2 linked regions of the Caenorhabditis elegans genome follow. The protein of the gene in region 1 purifies or fractionates together with the protein of each later gene. This does not show direct contact. Each region holds a gene or a part of one and is shown on either strand. Other genes may lie near its edges.

The links. The genes of interacting proteins can lie anywhere in the genome.
Region 2: the proteins of rpl-36 (region 1) and rpl-13 purify together in Caenorhabditis elegans (affinity purification with mass spectrometry; 2 studies listed by BioGRID, with this or other methods). This does not show direct contact.

What each region holds. Positions count from the first base shown.
Region 1 is NC_003281.10:7,175,634-7,183,163, reverse strand, and holds rpl-36 (Large ribosomal subunit protein eL36), read right to left. Parts: upstream 2,914-7,530; 5' UTR 2,913-2,913; coding exon 2,793-2,912; intron 2,743-2,792; coding exon 2,548-2,742; 3' UTR 2,517-2,547; downstream 1-2,516. Other genes in the region: epg-4 (Ectopic P granules protein 4), read right to left, coding at 1-109, 160-399, 445-599, 790-858; ndab-2 (Acyl carrier protein), read right to left, coding at 1,385-1,510, 1,846-1,965, 2,011-2,071, 2,272-2,402; rps-14 (Small ribosomal subunit protein uS11), read left to right, coding at 3,585-3,732, 3,776-3,891, 3,940-4,134.
Region 2 is NC_003279.8:3,783,485-3,791,304, reverse strand, and holds rpl-13 (Large ribosomal subunit protein eL13), read right to left. Parts: upstream 3,270-7,820; 5' UTR 3,264-3,269; coding exon 3,097-3,263; intron 3,053-3,096; coding exon 2,887-3,052; intron 2,837-2,886; coding exon 2,750-2,836; intron 2,647-2,749; coding exon 2,443-2,646; 3' UTR 2,409-2,442; downstream 1-2,408. Other genes in the region: ptr-2 (SSD domain-containing protein), read left to right, coding at 253-1,497, 1,543-1,677, 1,724-1,891; tppp-1 (Tubulin polymerization-promoting protein homolog), read right to left, coding at 3,924-4,021, 4,066-4,313, 4,365-4,511, 4,662-4,711; C32E8.4 (uncharacterized protein), read right to left, coding at 7,130-7,144, 7,196-7,363. UniProt on the Caenorhabditis elegans protein: Component of the ribosome, a large ribonucleoprotein complex responsible for the synthesis of proteins in the cell.

The DNA.
Region 1 (7,530 bases):
AACGATAACTGGTGTGATAAGAGGAATTGGAAGATATTGCGAAAGCATTCCTTGAATGAGGAAAAAAATTTGATGGAGCGCAGAAATGAGAGTTCCCGCTAACATAGAACTGAAATTTTTTAGTTTTATTTTTTTGAAATAATTATTAAATAAACTAACCTAAAAGGAACGACAGGTGGTGGTGGCAATTTTAGAGCTCTCATACAGGCTCCTGAAATATCTGAGAACCAAAGTGCCTGAATGATTCGAGAAGCAAAAAAGATGGGAATAATCAGAATGTAGCCGATATTGTGACCCAAATCAGTTCGATCGAAAAAGCTGAAGAATAGACCAAGAATCAATATACAGACCTGCCACAGAACCAAGAAACCGATATTCATAGCATAGATTTGCCAGAGTCTGAAATAAAATTTATTCAGTTTTTAACATGTAAGTATAAAATACTTTTTCAAAAAGCTATCTTTCTTCTTCGGTGGTTCAGGAGGTCTTTTGAAAATTCCTTGTTTTTCTCGTCTCATCATTAAAACTGTTCGTTCAACTGGCTTCGGTGGTTCTACTTTTACTTCTTTCGCTTCTTCTTCACGAATACGCCGAACAAACTGAAATCAAGAATATTTAAACTATTCGTTACTAATGGGGTTATTCAAGTAGTGTCGGAAAATTAAAAAGTGTAGAAAAATTACGTCACAACTGTATTAAAATACATAAAAAACATGTATTTAAATACATTTCGCTACATTACTTGAATAATCCCATAAATAAAAACTTTTTAAAGTTTTAAATACTCACAGTGATTCCTTTAAATGAATCAATAAATCCATGGTAAAAATCTCGAGCTATTATTTGAAATTTGACCATTTTTGGACTCTTGTTTAAACTAACTTCTTGGTATGTGTGACTTGATTATTGATTGGTGAATATCTGAATTAAAAACTATATTTCTACGCTGCAATTGTTTTTACTAACCTAGAAATTGCACCGGAAAAATGGAGAAATTCTGAAAATAATGACTTATAGAATCTAAGAAACGAAGAGAATATTTTTTAACGAAATTCGTTGTAATGCTGGTTACAAAAAAAGAAACACATGATTTTTCATTGACCTGATCATCTGCACAACGCAATTCCTATCGAGCGTCCACTTTGTGTAGACGCAGCAGAACGCAATACATTGGAGCGAATTTGCTACCAGTCATGGGGTGTCCTGAGGAAATTTCCTCAGGAAATAGATGAGCATTATGAAAGAAATCAACTAATTTATCGGCGTAAAATTCTCCTAGTAAAGGGTTTGTGAAATGACGACAAATGGGACAAAAATGGATAAAATTGAAATGTTTAGTTACACACAAAAATACAAAAAAAAATTGTTGAATCCTGTCATTTATCTACTCGTATACATCCTCACGCTCGCAAATGTACTTGAATGCATCGCGAATGGTCTTGAACTTATCGGAATCCTGAAGTGGGATCTCGAATCCGAATTCGTCTTCCAGTGCCATCACAATTTCGACCTGAAACAAAACAATTTTCAATTAAAAAAAAAAAAATTTACTTTGTAATTTAAATTTAACGTGAGGAGGAGATGTGCGACACATTTTACAATACCCATTTTCTCATCGTCGATATTTTTTTCAGAAACTAAAATAGAAATATTTGTACATTCTGATGATAACTTTATTTTCCACTTTTCAAAAATTTTAATTTAAAGCCAAGTTGACTTCAAAAAGCACAAATAAATCTATATTTCTGGTACGGAATAATTCTCCATTTCGGACCGAGCTGAAAATGTCACTTTCCATATGCCGGTAAAGCAGATGTTTTAATGTCATTTTGAAATTGAAATTACCTGATCCAGAGAATCAAATCCAAAATCTTTGCTCAAATCAGCATCAAGCTTCAAAAGTGACTCCTTGTCTGCTGGGAAACGATCCCATGAGCGAACTGCTTTCAAAACACGATCTTCAACCTGAAAATATACGGCCTGAAAAAGTCTTCCGTTTGTTTCAGCTACCTGTTTGAATGTGAGTTGCTTTGGGGGGTCGAATGGTCCGAAGACTTCAATTTTGCTTCCCCTGAAAATACCGACCTTTTTTTCTAAAGAGTATGTCTGAACTCCAAAAATCAAAACTTTAATGTGGAAATTGTTTTATCGTTACTCAGTTTGATTTAAAAGGTAGTTCTCTTTTTCACTTATTTTCCTCAAAAAACCTTCTTCTACAAATAAGCATTTGCCTTGATTTTTAGCACCACAAAATTTCCTGAAGAATGTTACCTAGTTTGAATGAAATTTACAGATGGAGCCACGAGCTTGACCATTTGCGGCACCGAAGCTGACACAGATCTCCGTTGAACTACCACCGAGGCAGTTCTGAAAACGACGCGTCCAACTTGACGACCAAACATTTTAACCCTTCTAAAAGAATGAGGTTCTTTCATAATCCATAACTATCTATCCTCAAGTAATTGAGGCGAATCCACGCATTCTTTCAAAGTCAGAACAAGAAAAAACGAGATTTTGGATAACAACAATTTATCAACAGCAACAAAATTATTTGTGGGCTTTGCGTTGAGCGATGATGACGTTTTGGAGTTCCTCTCTCTTTCCCTTAGCACGACGGTGGGTTCCGATGCGTCTCTTCAAGAACTTGAGGGCGCGCTTGTCCTTGGAGATACGAAGCATTTCCAGAACGCGACGCTCGTATGGAGCGAATCCGGTGATCTCACGAACGAGCTCTCGGACGATCTAAAAACTTTAATAAATATTTTAATCCGAAAAATTGGATAATAACAAACCTTGGTCTTCTTGGAGGCGACTCCCTTGTGTCTGTTTTGACGCTGCTTAACTGGAAGTTGGGTAGCAGCATGTCCCTTGTTGAGACCGACGGCCAAACCTTCAATTCCTGGTCCGCTCATCCTGAAATTATACAAAATAATTAGTTTAGGAATACGATTAGAGTTGCGATTAAGTTACGAGAAATAAACTAGCGAACATATATCCTATTGGTACAAATTAAATAAAAAATCACAAATTTGCCGCATATATAGGTAAAAAACTTTGGAAATTTATCGAATTGATGCCCAATTTGGCCTTGAAAGAAGATCTCTCAAAAATCAATATGTGAGACGTGAAAACACCCATATAGTGTGATTTTTCAGTGTAAAATAGTTTAACCAATTTAATTTGGTGTTTTTAGACGAAATTTTAACAAGAAATTCCTGTAAAAATCGTGAAAAAATCGAAAAAACCAGCATCCTATTATCGTCGGCGGGGCGAAACAAGAGAAAATGGAAAATCGTGGTGAGACCATTGGCTGCGTAGCGACTTTTTCCATGGAAATGATACGCAGCCAAAACATTTTCTGTGTAAATCGTATTTTTCGATTTTCTTTTTCGATTTTTAAAACGTTTTTATGGTGAAATGTTGAGAATTTCTTTAAAAATCAATGAGAATAAATTTTACAAGACGTATTTTATTAATTATATATAATTTTTACTCGGCTTATCATAAATTTTTTTTTCTCCGTTGTCCTCATTGCCATAGTTAGTAAAATATTTAATCAAGGAATTCAATTTTAGTCTTGGATAATGGCTCCCGCTCGTAAGGGAAAGGCTAAGGAGGAACAGGCTGTCGTGTCCCTTGGACCACAGGCCAAAGAAGGAGAGCTCATCTTCGGAGTCGCTCACATCTTTGCTTCGTTCAACGACACTTTCGTCCACATCACCGATATCTCAGGTAAAATTATAATTTTGAAACAAAAATTATCAAATAATTTTAGGACGTGAAACCATCGTTCGAGTTACCGGAGGAATGAAGGTCAAGGCCGATCGTGACGAGTCATCGCCATACGCTGCTATGCTCGCCGCTCAAGACGTCGCTGATCGTTGCAAACAAGTGAGTTAAATTTTTATCAATGCTACTGCAATAAGTTAATGTTTTCAGCTCGGAATCAACGCTCTTCACATCAAGCTTCGTGCTACTGGAGGAACCAGAACCAAGACCCCAGGACCAGGAGCTCAGTCTGCTCTTCGTGCCCTCGCTCGCGCTGGAATGAAGATTGGAAGAATCGAAGACGTTACCCCAATCCCATCCGACTGCACCAGAAGAAAGGGAGGTCGCCGTGGACGTCGTCTCTAAGTTGTTACTTGTTATTCGAAAGAATACATTGTTCAAAAGAATTTATTTGCGTTACACACTGAAAATGGCGTAGACCGAAAAACGTTTAGTCGATAATATAGTTAAGTATGCTCTGGCTGGGAGTTTGTTCAGATCGAAGGCTCAGCTACGTTTAAAATGCTTGCTTCGAGAATTTATCAATAACTGGTATTATTTGTTGAAGAAGTAGAATTCCAAATATTGAAGATAGCCTTGTCGTAGTTAATAGCACCTGCCTGGCCAGTTGCCACTATTCTGATATTTCCTTTGATCTCGATAATTTTCTTTATTCGATATATGTAGTTAAAGTATACTGATGCTACTCCAACTGCAAAATTGTACGATGAAATCATCTGGAACAAGTTGAACTTCTATAAGCTGTAATTAAATGAAATACCGTCATGAAAGCTCCGCGGACTGCCCCTAAATCTATTGGATCACTGAAAAAATAACTTCCGAAATATCTTAACAAAATAGTGATAGTCGTGTAACTCCCAAAAAATGTTACATGCACGAATATAACCGAAATGGAAAATTTAGTCGAAGAATAAACTTCTTCCAATTGGAATTTTGCAGCTAGTGTTGAATTGGACTTCTAAATGTTATGAAAAAAAAAAAATTCTAAATGTTATGAAAAAAAAAAAATTTCAACTTTTTCAATTGTGCGTTTCTTCGAAGCAACAAGAAGCTGAAGAAAAAATTGAACGAATTTAAAATCAGCATCATAATAAAAAACATGTACATCTGAAAAAAAATTTTTTTCACAATTTTTCAATTTTTGCAACTTTTGAAGCTATTGATGCCGGAATGAATACAAACGATATTGAACCTCCTGTGACAATTGCTTCCTTGTAGATGAGTAAAATGAGAAATAAATCTAGTAGTACCAAAAAGATGGCAAGAATAGGTCCCAAAAATACACGAGTTTTTTCGTAATCATCAGCCATTTTTGTAGCAATTAGTCGTTCAAAAGTTATTGAAATTGGGAAAAATGTAGGAATTGTCATAAGAAGACATCCCAAAAGGTTGCCAAGCTTGTAGTATTTAGGTTGGATTAATAAGTCGCACTTTTGCTCTGATATGAATGGAAGTAACACTTGGATAAACTATAAACGATAGAAGGAATTAAAGTCAATTGATAGGAACCTACAGCTTCAACAAGGAATACCACACTGAACACGAGAATTGCTCCAAAATAACCAACAAGAAGACTCAGAAAATGAAAATTTTAAATAATTGAAGATAAATTCAAATACCTTGAGATTTCCATGAAAACTGGATTTCAGAAGCTGGAATAAAATAAAGTAAGTTAACGGAAATAAGGAAGAAAAAAGCATAATCAACTGATATATTTGAAAATTTCTATAAACTGGATGAAACGACAGCTCATACGCCTGAAAATTCAAATATTTATCATAAATTCCATTAATAATAGACAACCGTAATACATGCCAGTGGAATATTTGTAGAAGATTCATTCATTTATGAAATCGTATCAACATGAAACTTGAAGCTCCAACCTTCTTATATATTCGTACAAATACAATCATAATAAATCTCAGAAATTTTAGTTTTATTCTCCGAAAGTTGAAATGAATGACTAGAATTGATAGATTAACTTTTTATTGTTCGAAATTCAATTTCTTAAAACGAAAATGTGAAAAAATCTATCCCGTTGGTGCTCCATGGTGGTTTTTTATTTAGTAATTCTCCTACTGACGATATCTTTATAAATTGTTTTTCGTGAAACACTGAAACACATAAAAAAACGACAATATTATCTGAAAGCCTACATAAGTACACAATTAACGATGATTACTGTACTTCTTAAAGGTGCATACCGTTTTGCACACGTGGTGTCAGGTTGTACCACAACGGTTTGATCTACAAAAAATGCGAGAATTTTTTCCCCAAAAAATGTGATGTCAGCACGTTCTTAACTATGCGAAATCAGTTGAGAAGCCTGCGCATAAATTCCCGCATTTTTGTAGATCACAACGAAATAGGACATTCTGACACCACGTGATTGCAGAGCCTATTTTTCAAAAATATTTTGCTTCTAGTGAGACCGGTGCCGTATTCAGCCGTATTGTCGTATTCGGAAGAATGTAAAGAAGTTATTGTTTATTTGTTAATAATTGAATTAATTAAACAATTGGAGTAGGCCTTGATGTTAAACTAGAAGCTGAATTCCAAATACTGAAAATGACATTATCGTAGTTTTGGGCTCCCGCATTCCCAGTCGCTTGCATTTCAATTTTTCCAATAATTTCAACAGATTTTTTAGTTCGAATTCGTTTGTACAAATAGACAGCAACTACTCCAATAATAAAGTTATACGTGGCAATCATCTGGAAATATACAACATATTATTTTTAATTTCAGTTTTTTTAAGAACAAATTCGACACTGGCCGCAAGATATCAATTGGAGGAAGTATACTTATCAACGAAATTTGCAATTTCTGTAATATTTGTTCATGTTATCTTTTTTGGAACATATACAACACTTACTATTCTATCGAGATATTTTGGTGGATTATTGATTGATGATCCAATAAATTTATCAGCTGCAAGAGGGGCTCTAATGACAGTTTGTTTTGAAATTGATTTTTCATTTTAATTGGAATAAATCATGCAGGTTAATTTCAAACGGAAGAGTAATTTTATATTACTTGTGAGCTTTAAACTTACTTTTTCAGGCGAGAGTTTTCACGTAGAAGTAGAAAATTGAAGAAGCCTTGATTGACTGGAATTTTTAGTCCTCATCTTTCCTTTATCTTTTAAACTGAAAATTTGATAATTATTGTACACATTTTTAATGTTGGGATAAAACCTTTAAAAAATAAAGGTAATGTTATGATTGGTAAATGGTAAATGTTATGAAAATGCCGTCTTCTTCCTTAGTTTTTGAAATTTCCCTCTTCATAACATTCCATAATCAGTGACTGCAAATATCAAAACCCACAATTTTAGAAAAACAGAAAATTTATTTTTTGAATTTCAATAATTTCCGAAATCAAATCTTTCACGTATGCATAAAAGTGCTTGCCTGTGTGCTCCAAGGCAGGCATAACTTTTTGTGGCGCATATTGACCAGACAATTCAGATTCTGTGCGGTTTCTGATAGTCACATTTCAAATTAGCACTCTTTCTTGATTGAATATAAGAGTTACAGAATCATTTGCAGCACGGAGAACAAAAGATATGAGCAAATCAACAACTGAACCAGATTCATCTGGCTTTGAACTTCTTTCTAATTGTACTACGGTAAGTAACCCACTGCAAATATCCTTGAAATTAAACTATACAAGCACAAATGATTTCATTTCATCCAGTATATCGAGTTGCTCAAATCTATCAATTTTTGGTTGCCTGTT
Region 2 (7,820 bases), on another chromosome or scaffold:
TTAAACCATTAGAAAATAGCAGAATTAATGAATAAAATCACAAAAATTTGAAAAAAAAATGAAAAAAGTTATCTTTAAAGAAGTGCATGTTTTTGAATTTGAAGACAAAAATTGTCGTGGTGAGACCTGGCACCAAATTCGCAAAATTTCGCGTCCGGGTAATATTTCCACGTGGCGAATTTCTGCTAACACACAAAAATCGTTTTTTTCAGGACCAAAATTTTGCGTCTCAATAATAATCGCTGTTTTCAGATCACATTCTTTGCCGCATGCCTAGCACTGGCTATGAAACACGAAGCATCCGGCCGAAATTCCCTCTTTCTCATCGAAGCTGTATCTGCCGAAAAGAAGACATCCCTGAGCACATTCCAACGATTATTCAATCTCGGAAGTGTGCCCGATCATTCTGCATCACACGATGTCAAACAACCACTGACCTCTCGTTTCTTCGGAGAATGGTATGCTCCAGTTCTGATGCATCCTGTGGTTCGTGGAATTGCAATGGTTTGGTTTGTGATCTATCTGCTCGGCGCCAGCTATGGATGCTCTCGTATCAAGGAAGGATTGGAGCCAGTTAATTTATTGGTTGAGGACTCGTATGCTATTCCACATTATCGACTTTTAGAGAAATATTTTTGGAAATACGGACAACAAGTGCAAATTGTGATAAATAATGCTCCCGATCTTAGAAATCATACATCTCGTGATCGAGTTCATGCAATGGTGCTTGACTTTGCGACAAGTAAGCATGCGATTGGAATGGAATCTGTGCAGTTTTGGTTATTCGAAATGGAGAGATATTATCAAAAAGAGTTGGAAGTTCAAATTATTGATTCCTCATTTTATGGCCTTCTTCACCATTTCCTAGCTTCCAAAACCAATAATCCATTGGCAGAGGATATCTACTGGGGACCAATGCCTGATGATGATAATGGAACGATGGTCAAAAGCTTCCGGTTTATTCTAGGAATGAAGGATTTAGTGACAACAATGGACCAAACCGACGCTACAATGTCATTTAGAGAGGTCGCTGCTCGATGGCCGGAGTTCAATGTGACCACTTTTATGCCAATATGGATGTTCACTGATCAGTACATTATAATTATTCCGAACACTGTTCAAAACATTATTATTGCACTTTTGGTGATGATCGTCATTGCCGTTCTCTTCATTCCACAGCCAATGTGCTCACTTTGGGTGGCTCTCGCTTGTGCTTCCATCGATTTTGGAGTGATTGGATACATGACGCTATGGGGAGTGAATCTGGATGCTATATCAATGATCACAATTATCATGTCAATTGGGTTCTCCGTCGATTATTCTGCACACATTGCATATGGCTATGTCGTATCCAGAGAAGATACAGCAGCTGGTAGAGTGAAAGAAGCACTATCAGCTCTTGGATGGCCACTGTCTCAGGGAGCTATGTCTACAATTATCGCGGTTTCAGTTCTTGCCGATATTCCAGCATATATGATAGTTACTTTTTTCAAAACGGTAATTCTTTTCAATTTTTTTATTCTTTAACTTTTCTATTTTCAGGTCGTTCTCTCAATTTCTCTCGGTCTTCTCCATGGTCTTGTTTTCCTTCCAGTATTGCTCTCAATATTCGTACGTGGATGTTGCATAATCCCTAGCTCACCGCATGGTCATCCCAGCGCTCAAAAAATCGAAAAGGTTTGATCTGAAATTATCACTACATTCTCATTTTCCCATATTTCAGCAAATCAGGATCGCCGCTATCTCGTCTAGTCCACTCGATTTGCGAACCGTTGCTCCGCTCCGCGCCTCGTCACCAATCAGCTTCCCGCATAGGCTTGAGTACACCGATGAATCTCCAACTGTACACAACAGATCAAAGAATTCTATTAAATCCGAGCACCTAGACTAGTCTTTCTTCCAATGACTCTCATTAACTAATTGAATACGTGTATTTGTAGAATATTGTGAATGTTCTACGTTGTTTTTAAATATATGTGAATGAATATCTTAATTGAAATTTTAAATATTATTAACTCTCGAAACATTATCAGTGAGTCTAGAATGGGAAGGAGACATTTTTAGAACAAATCGGTCAAAAATAAGAAAACGGATAATTGGATATTTAAGCCAACAGCCACCTATTTCTCAGTGCTACAAATTTTTACCAAAAGCTGAGGATTAATATGCGTTTCTTGAAATTAAACTTTAATATTTTTCAAGTAGCGAATAAAATCACAATGAAAACCTAAACTAATAGTAAGCGACAGAATTTTTAAGATTTACAATCGGAAACTCAAAATCAACTTTCCCGTTCTGATGTTTCACTTTTGACCATAAGTTTTCAAATAAAAACTTAAACTAGACGTATTGTATTTTAGAATATTATTTGCATTTCGTTTGTTCGTTGGTAAGTCACTGTTAACTTTCATAACAAGTTTATGAACAGAGAAAATCAACAATTTACTTATTCTCCTCAGCGGCCTCTCTGGCTCTCTTCTCACGCTTTCCACGGTATTTCTTGTCAGCACGCTCCTTGCGGAGAAGTCTGAAGATCTCGACCTTGCGTTCGGCGTCGGTAACTTGGCGTGGCTCGTCGAAGGTGATGGTGTGGGAAAGTGGAAGGACATCTCCGCGAAGTTGGGCGGCAACCTTGAGCTCCTCAGCCTTAAAAATCAATATTCATATTATGCAGGAATTATTTAACAAACTGTTATCGACTAAGTTCAAAAATACTTTCAAACTTAATTAAATGCAAAAAAAAACTTACAGAGCTGTCTCCCTTCTTTGGTGCGCTAGCCTTCTTCGGGAAGAGGATAAGCTTGGCTTTGTACTCCTTGAGACGATCGGCGTTGGCCTAAAATATTGTATACATTTAATTTTCATGCAAAATAATTTATTACATACCTTAAGTCCCTCGGCGGTCTTGTTGGTTCTTCTCACATCAACGGCGATTCCGATGGTGCGGGCCTGAGCCTGGGAGATTCCGGCGGCCTTGAGCTCTTGAAGAGAGAAACCACGTCCAAGACGAGTCTTGGTGTTGTATCTCTTCTGTGGGCAACGGACGACAGATCTGAAATGAAACTATATTTAATGAAAAGACTAATTCTATCTAACCTGAGAAGTCCAGCAACTGGGCGAGGAGCGATTTCGACAGCCTTAGCTTGACGGTTCTGTCTTCTGCGGAGTTTGCGAGCTGGCTGGTCGAACCAGGTCTTTATGCGCTTGTGCCAGTGCTTGCGGAAATGGGCATTGCCCAACATTTGGTTTCCACGTGGAGCCATTGTACCCTGAAAAAAAGAAGTAAAATTGCGATTTTAGTTCAAACTAATGAAAATTGCGATAGAAATACAGAAAATAACTCAATAACAACGCAAAATTGCGAAAAAAAGCTTAAATAGATATTTTTAAAACAATTTCCGGGAGAAAATTTAAAAAATCAGCATATTGAATCAAAAAAGAAAAGAAAAAATTCAGAAAAATTCTATGGGTTTCTTCTTCACAGTGTTACAACGTTGAATACTCAGCCAACGAATTGGCTGCGGCAGCCAAGCGCTGCGAGACCTGCCTGTGTACTTGTGTCGATTTACGCAGGAACAAAATGTGTGCCTAATTTGTTTCGCAGTCTATAAAATTGAATATTTCCATTTAAAATAGTTAAATCAATAAGAAAGTGGTATTTTCAGTGAACTTAACTTTTCTGAAAATAATTTTTAATATGGTACATAACTTCAAACTACTTTATCATCTCTAAAAACTAGAAAGTGGAATTAATTTAATTCAAAAAATTACTGAAATTATTTGCTTTTGAATTTTAGATTAAAAAAAGTTAAATAAATAAATTTATTAATACAAAGATATTACTGGGAATTATACATTCGAGAATATAGACAAAACGAAAAGAAAAAGAAGTGCATTTATTTGGTCCATAGAGAGATCTTTGATTACTTTCCATGTGTTTTATCGTAGGAATCTTTATTCTTGTAAGCTCCAACATATCCAGTATTTTCTGTTGTATCCGCACGTCCTGATTTTCCTTTTCCTGAAATTACATATTTCTTTCGTGAATTCATTTTCTACAAATACCTTTTCCTTCGGCATCGAATCTTTCTTTATGGGCTCCAGTATACTTTGTGTGATCGGTGAGACGGCTGTAAACGCCGGCCGCATTGGCCTTCGCCGCACCTCCAACACTCGGCGCTTCCAATTTGGCCAATTTCTCTGTGATTGCGTCCAGTTCGTCCTGAATCGGCTTCTTACTTTGTCTCGCGCGATCCTCGGCGACAAATGCCAGCACTTTCTTCGTTTCGTCGAAAGTGGCCTTCTTTTTAGGTCTATAATAAATTTTTTAGTTAATTCGATGCAGACAGTAAAGTTCAACCCACCCAGTAACTTTGCTGAAAGCGATTCCGGTCATTGTCCCGGTGATGGCTTTGTTGTCGAGGACACCAGCATCCTTAAGCCACTTGTCGAAGTTCTTTCCAGTCATTTCGGTGGCGGTAGCAGCTCCGAATTTGGTGAACGCGTCCCATCTAGAAAATTAAAAGGTTTTGATGCGAAATTCTAACTCGAAACTGTGTGAAAAACAATGTTTTGTTAATTTTTTTCTGGTTACCAAAATTGAAATCGGTAAACTACTGGACTTCTTGCAAAGTTTATAATTTAAAATCCAAATAATTTACCTTTTCTTCACATCAGCATCATCCCAGTTGAATCCAGCAGCAGCGGCCATGATTTTCTGAAAAATAAAAGGTGTTTGTATAGTGAAAATAGGAATAACGACCGGAAAAGAATGAGCACTCGATGGCAACCATGGAAACATGGAAATATTCAAAGAGAGTTGAGAAAACTGCGTGAGAGGAGAGCATAAATCAAAAATAGGTGGAGCTCTATCGAGCATAAGAGAATTAAGAGAATCACGTGGCGGCAATATCTGCACTCGATTTCTGACTTTGTTTAGCAATTTGAGGAAGAAGAAGTATAAAAGCCCATGTGTCGGAAGGAATTGGCAGAAGCTGAGTGTGGAGTAGAAAGAGCACAATGGGGCGAGAGCCAAGATTATTATCTATTCATTCTTCGCGCAACGCCAACGTTGTTCCCTAATTGCGCCGTCCGTCAGTTGAAAAGCATAACGAGCCAAAGAGATTCGGACGGTGATTAGTGAAGTTTTGAACTAGCAGGAAACGGGTGAGAAAGTGAAGAGAGATAGGGCAAACGGCGTTCTTTAATGAAATGAGAAAAAAACTTCTCTCTTCCTCTTTTCAATCGCGTATTTCGACCTCTCTTACACCGGATAAATCATCAGTAGGACATGCTCTTTGTGGCTGAGAAATACATAAAAAGAAAAGAGTATTGCGAAATTCTCGAAATATAACTTTTCACGGAAACTCTCACTGCGCAAATTGCGAAATTGAGTGGCGCCGATGGGAATTCATGAATGCAATATGAACTGTTTTGTTTTGAAAACTTTTTTCAAAACATTTGAGAACTGAAGTAAACGGAAAAAGGACAGAAATGGGTGGAGCTTTCACTAATTGTTTGGGTGCGGAATCTGTTATTGATGGCGTTCTTTATTAGGCAATTAACGCAGTTTCCAATATTCCATTCTTTGAGAATGATAAATTATTAGTTGAAAGGAAATGTATAAAAAAGAGAAAGCTATAGCTTTTAGGTTTAGGTCTTACTGAGAAGAGAGAATTAAACTATTTTGTTTCCCATACATAAAACGGGCTGGATGAAAAATTCAAATCTCAAAAGAGGCGCCTTGTCCCTCCATCTTTTTCTTGTTTCTCTCGTCACCTGCCACTCCTCCTATGTGTGCATGAGAGTGCGCAGGAAGATAGTAAAACAAGACAACAAACATCGGAGGGAGTGGGGGGTAAAATTTGAAAATGAAATAAAATAACAGAGAGGTAGGAGTATGAGACGAGTTGGTGATGCAGCAAGAGGCATACGGACAGAATTCGCTGGGTTTACTGACTGGAGAGAGAGACGAAATGGGAACTAGATTAGCGACGGTCACGCCTGCGTCTCCACGATCTCTATCCATAATTGACAGCCTCCCTGTTTTGGACGTCTTCTTTCTCGCGCAGAAGCAGCAGTCAACTCGAAACTTGATATCTACATTGTGTGTGTGCTTTTGGAAGAAATAGGGGATTTGAACTCTGCTGTACAACTAAGGATCTACACATGTACGGAATACGTTAATGAACTCGTTTTGGGCAACGGAAAAACGTAGAGTTTGAATATTTTTCTGATTCAAACTAAATTTAATAAATATTTGTGTATACTTTTTTTTAATAAATGAGAAAGAATGATGGCGTCCAAAAACTTGGGGATTTTTCGTGGAAACGTCATGAGGATCCCTATGTTTTCAGTTTAAAAGAGTGTTGCTTCTGAAAAAAAATCTCTAAAAATTCTTGGAAAAACTCTGAAAAAATCCTAGAAAAAATCTGAAAATCCTAGAAGTGCGAAAAAACTAAGAAAATTAAGAAAACACATTCAATTTCGCAAGTTTTTATCGTTTCAGAATAATTAACAGTAAAAAACTTGAAAATTGTGAAATTAAAGCGATTTTTATGGAGAAAATAGCGTTTTGGCCAAAATTTTGGATGAAAAAATGTCAAAAACAAAAACATTATCCTACTGTACGCATTCAAGACGCACATCGTTTCAAACGCGGGTTTCACAGCGCTCGCCAGATTACTGTAGAAATTTTAACCATCAAGCCTAGATTTTCTTACGGCAACACGAGTTTGAAGAAAAAAAGTTGAAAAAAGTCAATATTTCTCCCAAACAAAAAACCGAGTAAGAAGGGTGTGTCAACATGTGAAAATTTGATAAGCGAGAAAAGCACGGCGAACTGATGAACACAGAAAATTCGAAGCCTCTACGACGACCGAGAAAACAAGAAAAAACGTAGTATAACGGAGATGACGGCCTGGAATGTAATGCAAAAAAAGAGAGCGATGGAATCGTAAAAAAGACATGCACATTATGTAGGCACGCATTTTGAATTCCGGCTCAGCACAAAATTGAGGCTTTACTCTTTTTTTGGTGAGCACTTGTGTTCAGTTTCAGATGGAAAAAACAAGAAATTGTGAATAAAACTAGTTCATCGAAGGTCTCTTGCTTGGCGTAGAATTGTTCATTACTCCTTCTCTTCCTGAAATATACTACAATAAAATCTGGAAAAAAGAGCTGCACAAAAACTTACAGGTTCTCCTTGAGCGGAAGCAGCAGCAGGAGCTCCTCCAGGAGCCGGGCCCATCGTCGAAGATTTTCCTTCGGCAGAAGTTGCTCCCTTTTTCTTTCCACCACATTGAACGAGCAGAGTGCTTCCAGAGAAGAAGAGGACGAAGAGGAGCGTCAAAAGTGAATACATCTCGTGTTGGTCAAGACTGTTCTTCGAGTTTAAACGAACCGAAAACTGATTGATAGAACTGGCCAGTGGTGTGTTGGAGATGGTGTCCGTGAACTACTTAATTTTTTCGGTTTCACGAATTATTTGAAAATCTTCTATTAATTTTTTAAATAAAATTTAATTATAGTCCTATTTTTCCAAAATAAAGTTGTCACGGAAATAGTGATTTTTTCAAGTTTTCTTAAATTTATTACCCAGCCGCAAAATTTTGCGCTAAAAATACGGTACCCGGTCTCGACACGACAAACACTTGTTCAAAGCGAAAAGGCATGCGCCTTTAAATATTTAGTACTGTAATTTCAAATTCTCGATGCTTCTGATTTTTTCTGATTTTTCATAGTTTCATTCAAGTTTTTCTTTAAAATGTAAAAAAAAAATATTTCTATTGAAAAACTATGAAAATTCCAAAGCAACGAAA